2 linked regions of the Oryctolagus cuniculus genome follow. The protein of the gene in region 2 purifies or fractionates together with the protein of the main gene of each other region. This does not show direct contact. Links are inferred from orthologs where the notes say so. Each region holds a gene or a part of one and is shown on either strand. Other genes may lie near its edges. The genes, in order: RAP2C and RABGGTB.

Region 1 (4,399 bases), on a different chromosome or scaffold from region 2:
CAAATCTGGCTGAGAACTTGGGAGATAACAGAAAGGGGGAGGTACCCGGGAAGCAGACACAGATGTGTTATCTGTGCAACAGATAATGGGCTCCAAATCCTTTTCCTTTCAAAGCCCTCTATTTGCACAAGATTATTTGTTAAAGGTTGTTTTGTTGAATGGGTTAATCAATACTCAAGAAACTTCCAAAAGGTTACATTCTAAGCTAAAGACAACCCATCTGTTCCTGGTCTTTTCTTTCCTTCGACTTAAAAATAACTTGAAAAGATTCGTGGCTGCATGATACCTCAGTACTCTGTCTCTAGAAACAACCTGACACTTTTCCACGCCAGGAGTAACCTCAAAAATGCGCCATGTCTAACTTTCAAAAGCCAAACACAGTCCTGAATGCGCGGTTCCAGCAAATCAGAGGTAAATCAGGATTACCACACCCCCTTCCAACAAATTACAAGACTTGGTTTGGTTACCTGAAAAGACTGTTGATTAACCAGACTATAAACCAGGATGAAACCTTGGCCGTTTTTGATGTAGAGATCTCTCATGGAGGCAAACTGCTCAGTTCCTGCGGTGTCCAGAATTTCCAGCACGGAGGGGGAAGAGTCCACTTCGATCTCTTTGCGGTAGAAATCTTCAATGGTGGGGTCATATTTCTCAATGAAAGTCCCGGTGACAAACTGCACAGTAAGGGCAGATTTGCCAACCCCTCCGCTCCCTAACACCACTACCTTGTATTCCCTCATGAGTCTCCCCTTCACCAACTCCTACCCGACGCGGGGGAAAAGAACACCCCGCTAGCTGCGCTGGCTGCGGCGCGGCTAGGCGGAAGGTGGGCGGAAATCTGCAAACTGGCGAGGAGAGTGCAGAGGAGCCGAGGGCCCAACCGGGGAAGAAGAGGAAGTTACGGGAGGGGGAGGGGAAAGAGCCAAGTGTCGGGTGGGTGGGGATGGGATGGTAATGCCCTTCCTATAGGAACTGAAGCCCAGGCAGGGGGCGTGGGGAGGAGGGCGAGCTGGGAGCAGCCGAGCGAGGGTGGGGAGACGCGGCGCACCCCAAGGAGGGAAAGGGGTGGGGGCCGCGGAAAGACAGCCCCGCGGGCAGTCGGGCGGTCCAAGGAGCCCGCAGCCAGGGGCTGCCCGGCAGCCCTCCCCCGCCCTTCACACAAAGGGGCCCAGGGACCCCGCTTCCTGCTAGCGCTGCCGCCGAGCCGGCCCAGGCCTGCGGGCCCCGCTCCCGTCACTGCAGCCCGGGCGGGTCTCTGGGCCCCGGCTCCAGCGGGGGTCGTCCGGCCTGTGGTGGGGAGAAAGACACGCATTACCCGCCTGACCCTCGCCCCAATCCAGAGGCCCCGGCTTCTCCTTCCCCCGAACCAGGCTGCCGCCGCCGCCGCCGCCGCCGCCGCTTACCCTGCCGTCCGCACCCGCCCAGCCGCCCGGGAGGCTCTGTCACTCCAAGGCCATGGCCACCCGCTGGCTCCTGTGTGTCACCGCCGCCCCAGCGTGGCTGCTCGCCGAGGGGGAAAGGGGCGGGGGCCGTCCGGCGGCGGCGGCGGCGGCGGCCGCAGGGACTCCTGGCGAACCCACCTCTTTTTTTTTTCTTACCCACCCCCCACCCCACCCCCCAACACACACCCGGAAGGGTTTCCCTGACACACTGACTGAGGTGCCCCAGTTCCCCGAGACTGGACGGGATCACTTCCGGTGGGGGAAAGTCCCACCTCTTCGGGGCGAGCCGGGTGGCGCTGGGGCCGCGCCCTGCTGAGCGAGTGAGCAAGCTTGCGAGCCAGCGAGCCGGCCGGGGACGGTTTCGGGTCGGGGCTCCGGCCTTGGGAAAAGGCCTCTCCGAGAACCTCCGGCGTCTGGGCCTTCCCGCCCGCGGCTGCTGCTGACCGTCCCACCCCCAAAGCCATTGCAGCTCCTCTGCCTCAGCTTCAGCCTGCCGCAGCTGGGCCTGAGGACTTGATCCGCTCCTTGGCCCGCGCCGGATCGTCAGCTAACAATCTAGCGACCGGGAGAGCGCCTCATGTCCCTGGACTAGAAGTTGCAGGGAGAATAAAACCGCCCAGAAGTTTATTCTCTTTGCTGGTATTTTTTCCACTTGATATGCCTCTAAGAAATGCATGCAACATATTCCTAGACTTCGCTATGGCTCTGATTTGATATGTGGTGTGTTGCTTAGCCGTACCTGACAGTTAAATACACACAGTAGTTTTATCATCTTCTGGCAAATCTGCCTTGACTCCACTAGCAAATATTAAAGTCACTCCTTAAATTAAAAAAAAAAAAAAGCACAAGGCTAGGTAGAAAAGAGCATTAGAAAAAGAATTTATGGTACTCCATTTGATTTCAACCATGCCTGCACAGCAGAAAAGCTAACCAATATTCAGGGAAGCGTTTATGGAAAATCCTTTGGACCTGCAGACTAATTTCTATTAAATTTCCGATCATCTGCATGCATAGCAATTTGCATGTTGTCTCTTCCACGTTCAAGTGTTTTTTTTTTAAAGGCCATTCTTTAGCGTCATTGGAATCTTAATACAAATATTAATTCCACTGTTAGCAAACACTAAGTTTCTACTTTTCGATAGAATTGTTACATATCTTTCCCTTTGCTGACTTTCTACTTGTAAACTTTGTGTCAGATCCACAGGGCCCCTGGGCCAGAATGCTAGGCTGTATTTTAGGCATGTCACTCCCTTTTTGATTAAAGCATGCACCCAGAAATCTAACAGATTCGGGGGCCAGCCGGGTTAAAGTCTCCCCAAATTCCCTTCTTGCAAGCCCTAATGACCAAACTGTTTAAAAAAACGATTTATTACGCAAATTGCTAGGCACTAGAAAACAGGCGAATCACAGCAGCGTGAAGTCCCACTGTCCCTCCCTGTGTATACCCCAATGTCACTTACAGTATTCGAGGGACTATTTAGTTCAGTTTCTCCTCGGCCTCAAGCTGGTGCAATCTCTCCCACGGAGTCCCCAGCTCTGGCTCCAGCTGGCCTGGGGCCTGCCAGATATCTGAGGCACTGCCCCCTGCTGGAAGAGTATTGGTCTGTGAGTTAGGAGTCTCCCCATAGGTCAGCGCTCCTTCCACACGTGCTGTTGCCTGATTTGGAGCTCTGCTGCTCATCTCCCTGTCTGGCTGTCTCCAGACTGTCTGGTGGAATCCACAGCCTTCCACCAGCCGTGCCTGTAACCGAGTCTGGAAATTCCTCTTCTGATCCAGCCAGCGTTGAGCAATCGTAGCCAGTCTCTGCTCTATTACTAAATTGTGAAAACAGGGAGTTCTTTTTGAAGTTGTCCCACCTGTTGGCAGCTCTAATCATCCCCGAACGTGTTGGCCCTGGTTTGGAGCGTTCTTTGTCCACACAGTGAAACTTACTCCTCCCCATGCCACACACTCCCACTGGGTCACTTTCATTAACTACAGGGTTGGCAAGTGTCACACTCAGTCTGAAGATCCTTCTAAACTTTCTTAGGAAGGGAAGTCATTACAGCATTCATTAGAAAAATGCAAAATTGGAAATGACTTCAGTGTCTTACAGTCGATGATTCTTATAAATTATGTACATATACTCGCAAAATAGGACAGTATGCAGCTATTAAAAAGAGAAAAATATATTTGTAAGTGCTAATTATGAAAATAAGGCCAAGATATGTTGTAAGGCTAAAGTAGATACTGAAAAATGTACAGTTGCTCCCATTAGTGTCAAATAAGAGTGTGCGTGACAGTTATATAACCATGGAAATCTGAAACAAAGTAATTATAGGTGAGAGATATTAAAGAACTTTCCTTTCTCGTGTTAATTTTTGAACAATGATCAGTTGTTTTTAGGAAAGGAAGCAGTAAATATAAAATTAGCATGTATTTAAAGGAGAAATGAAAGGAAGTTGTTAATCAACACTTTGTCAATAGACAGTTCTGCCTAGGGGTCAGCAGGGGGCCGGCTATGTGGCTTGTAAAGCCACCGCCTGCTGTGCTGGTGCCGGCATCTCACTAGGGCGCCAGTTCCTGTCCCTGCTTCTCCACTTCCGATCCAGCTCCTTGCTGGGGTGCCTGGGAAAGCAGCAGAAGGTGGCTCAAGTCCTTGGGCCCCTGCCACCCACGTAGGAGACACAGAAGAAGCTCCTGGCTTAGGACTGGCTTTGCTCCAGTCTTTGCAGCCATTTGGGGAGTGAATCAGTGGATGGAAGATCTTTCTCTATCTCCCCTCTGTAACTGTGCCTTTCAAATAAAAAAAATAAAAAATAAAAGATAGGGGGTCAGCAGATAGGCCTGCCCAATTTAAACAAACTCCTGCTTGCTGTCCTCAAACATCTCTATACTTAGAAAAGTAATTTCACATACATTATCTCACTTGTTTGCCAGTGTACTTTCATTAGGCAATAAGAGTATAAAGTCCAAT
Region 2 (3,812 bases):
TGTTGTTCTACAAAACAAAAAGGGAATAAACAATGACATGGAGATGATACACTGAAGCAAAAACAAAAAACTGTACTTAGAGTAACAGCATTAACAAAACCTAAAGCTGAACATACAATGCAAAATCTATTTTACAGTATGTATAATTACATAATTTATTAAAATTAATTTAACACAATATACAAAATATTAACAGTAGTCAATGTTGGAATGGCAGCTACACTAAACAGCTTTTCCATCAGCCAACTAGCTCACTAATTCAGGCTGAACATTCACCCTGCGAAGCACTTCTTCAGGCATGCAAAAAACAGGATTAACAGGTTTTATCTGTTCTTCTCCCAGAAGGGACAATCCAGCAATTCCAAATAATGTATGAAAAGGATCCACCTAAAACAAAAATTCACAGATTACAAAATGAATGGTCTCCCCCAAAACCTTGCTTCAAAATATTTTATTTATACTGCAGCCAATTCCACTTTGTGTACAGGCTTTAACATTTTCAGAAATAAACTTAAACCTGCTTCAAAATATGACCTTTATCATATAATATTTACTAACTTGTTTAATAGGCAAGGAGATTTTTTCTGACACTATTCAGTAAAGTACACTGCTTTGACGTTACATGCCTGGAAATGCCTACATCAATGAAAGTAATGCAACACTAAAAAGATATATAAACATTAGAAATATACTTGCCATATCTCCTGGCCTGTCTGCAAATCCCCCCGTTTCTTCATCTTGACATGCTAAGATGAAACTCCGCAGTTTCTCTCTATCAATCCAATGAAGTCTTCCGATAATCTTTAGAGAAGCCAACACCCACCATGAATAGCACACATCTGGTAACTAGGAGTAGGGGAAAGCAACAAATAACTACTAGTATTAATTCTGTTCTTAAGTCATTAGTAACAATTTAAAGTGAAGTCTCATCTAAGCAATCTGATATTCAAACGGTGAGAAGTAACAAAAAACATTAAAATATGTTTGCAATGTTTGCTTATAATTAAAAGATAACCAGTGGGAAAGAGAAAACTAACTCCAATTTATAAGTACCCATTCTAAATGTTTCAGGGCTCCGTGACAAGTATATATCTACATTTCTAACTGCATCAATAAATTCCTAACTCAGCCCATTAACCAAGAAGCTGATGAGAGGTTCATGAAATCTCTTGAGGGGGCTGCAGTAGGTAAAGCCACCACCTGCAGAGCCAGATTCCCATTGGGTGCTGGGACTCTCCACTTCTGATCCACTCTCCCATGGTCTGAGAGAGCAGTGGGAAGATGGCCAAAGTCCTTGGGCCCCTGCACCCCCGTGGGAGACCAGGAAGAAGCTCCTGGCTTTGGATGGGCTCAGCTCCAGCTGTTGTGGCAAGCTGGGGAGTGAACCAGACAGAAGGCCTCCCTCCCTCCCTCCCTGCAACTCTGCAGATGGAAGACTTGCTCCCTCTGCCTCTCAAATAAATCTTTATAAAAGTCATCAAAAAATTAAAAAAAAAAGAAATCCCTGAGAATGTTACAATAATCTACATACAACATTTTCCAATGCTTTCCAACTAGGCACCAATTTGCCTTAATATCTTAGATCTAAAGCCTGGCTCCCCAAATTTCTTACGCATGATTCAGGGGCACACTAAGTGTATCCAAGAGCAGAAGCGTTTCAATCTTTTGGATTCTACTTTTGCCACTGGCAGGCTTTTTGAGATATTATAATGGAAGAAATGATAAGTTGAAAAGTCACAATAGGAGGAAGGACAAGGACTTCCTCATTACTACGAAGTGGCATTGATTCAAGCTTATGAAATAATACCTTCTCTGGTCTTCCATTAAGTCCACCTGAAGGCAACTGTCGTTCACAAAGCCACCAACCAAGTAAATCAGAATTTACTTGATGCAGCTGACTAGTAATAGCCAGGAATCCTGTGCAACAATAGATCTAAAATTACAGACATAAAGTACATGTGTATAATAATGTGACAGTAAAATAATGACAAAATCCAACTATTCAAATTATTAAAACATTTTTATCACTTTTGCCTTCTGATCTGATGATTCAACATTTCTAATTTTAAATAATTGCAAAAATCCAAGTATACTACTAAAATACATGTCATGGCATGTCTCTTATGAGACCTACAGATAAGGTTAAGTATAGTGTAAGTATACTGCACAAAGGGATGCTACATATGATGGGAGATTTTATACTACTCAGACCAATGAAAAACTTAGTCTTAAGTTGACCACAGGTATTACAATTGTGGAATGCAAAGTCATGCATAAGGGAGCAACCACAAAAAGTACTCTGGCACAAGCAATGAGCTGCCCGTTTGGCTCATGGTAGGTAGAAATGTTTTCAACTGCATAGTTAAAAATTGAATATATTTCGGTTCAACTGCTTGGGCCAGAGAGATCTACTAACAGAATGGTACATAATGCAAAATATTGTGGAAAAGCTTTCCGTAATTCTTAACATCCAATGTTACACCCCAATGATATTACACTTAACACATTTCCCTGTCATCACAATGGTAAATCCTTCAAAATTGATACTAAAATTTAATCTGAATTAAGTTACCTGCCCAGCATGAGATTCAGAACCCGGTCTGCAACCAAACCCACCATCAAAGTTCATGCAAGATAAAACAAATTCGATGGCTTTTTCCACATCAATTGCATCAAGCTTCCCCTATAAACAAAGAAATATGCCTGTTAAATTTCAAAAGTCCTCATGGATGCTTCATCATTTCAATATTCAAAGCTTGGGGCAAGCACTGTGGTGCAGCAGGCTGGGCCACACTTGGGATGGCCACCCATCTGTTCATATCCCAAGTCAAAGTGTGTGAATAGAGGATTCTCAGTTATTATTTCCAATCCAGCTTTCTGTGAAGTACACCCAGCAGTGATGGCTCATGTATTTGGGATCCCTGCCACCGAATGGAAGACCATGCATGGCTCTGACCTAGCCCAGTCCCTGGCTCTTGTGGACAATTGGGAGTGAACCTCTGTGTGTCACTCTGCCTTCCAAATAAACAAACCTTAAGTATTTTCAAAGCTTACCAACAGAGCTAACGTTGCCACCGCACAGAAAGAGAATCTTGTATCAATTTCTCCTAAAACAAAAAGGAATCAATCAAACCATTATCAGACTTCCTTCTGATATAGTACAAGTTACCTAAAAACAAAATCTGTACACCTACTAGCTTGAATTTCCAAGAGTTCAAGCTTAACATCAGGTAGTCAGAACTGCTTAAATCTGAAGTTCTAAGTCTAATAACTAAAAAACTACTCTGTCAAAAATAACAGCAAATTATCAATGTTGTTTATGGGGGTCCAGAAAGGGAAGGAAACATCTGAAAAAAAACTAGCTAATTTCAAAAAAAAAAAATAAAACTTACCCTTATTTAATAAAAAGTAGATTTTCACATCCCATGAAGCAGCTGGTCTTTCTGGCCTGCACTGTGTTTAGCCCTAAAACACAGATTATCTACATTTATCAAATAAAAATCCTATTCCCTCCCTCCACACAAATATTCAGTAAGTTTGTAAAGTTTTTTTAGAAGTATTTTTCCCTTTCCAGCAAGTACTTTTTAAAAACTTTACAAAACCACCAAATATTGGGGGAAAAAAATTTCACCTACCTTATCTTTTAGACTGGCCCCCTCTGTTCCAGTGCTCCTGTATGCTGTTATAACTACCACAGTGCATGCTGGAACTTCCAGCAGACCATTAATTCCAATTAGACCAGCTGCTTCGTGGGACCTGAAAAAATGAAATACTTAAAAAAAAATCTACAAACTGGCTCTAAGCGAAGTGAG

What was found.
Region 1: the proteins of RABGGTB (region 2) and RAP2C purify together in Homo sapiens (co-immunoprecipitation; 3 studies listed by BioGRID and IntAct, counting the BioPlex papers as one, with this or other methods). This does not show direct contact. The link is inferred for Oryctolagus cuniculus from reciprocal best matches to the Homo sapiens genes RABGGTB and RAP2C.

What each region holds. Positions count from the first base shown.
Region 1 is NC_091453.1:109,804,656-109,809,054, forward strand, and holds the start of RAP2C (ras-related protein Rap-2c), read right to left. Parts: upstream 3,044-4,399; 5' UTR 2,903-3,043; intron 1,674-2,902; exon of another isoform or gene 1,629-1,673; intron 1,545-1,628; exon of another isoform or gene 1,404-1,544; intron 1,288-1,403; 5' UTR 741-1,287; coding exon 468-740; intron 1-467. UniProt on the Homo sapiens protein: Small GTP-binding protein which cycles between a GDP-bound inactive and a GTP-bound active form. May play a role in cytoskeletal rearrangements and regulate cell spreading through activation of the effector TNIK.
Region 2 is NC_091438.1:96,203,924-96,207,735, forward strand, and holds part of RABGGTB (geranylgeranyl transferase type-2 subunit beta), read right to left. Parts: intron 3,108-3,812; coding exon 3,055-3,107; intron 2,684-3,054; coding exon 2,573-2,683; intron 1,934-2,572; coding exon 1,808-1,933; intron 847-1,807; coding exon 697-846; intron 388-696; coding exon 247-387; 3' UTR 1-246. UniProt on the Homo sapiens protein: Catalyzes the transfer of a geranylgeranyl moiety from geranylgeranyl diphosphate to both cysteines of Rab proteins with the C-terminal sequence -XXCC, -XCXC and -CCXX, such as RAB1A, RAB3A, RAB5A and RAB7A.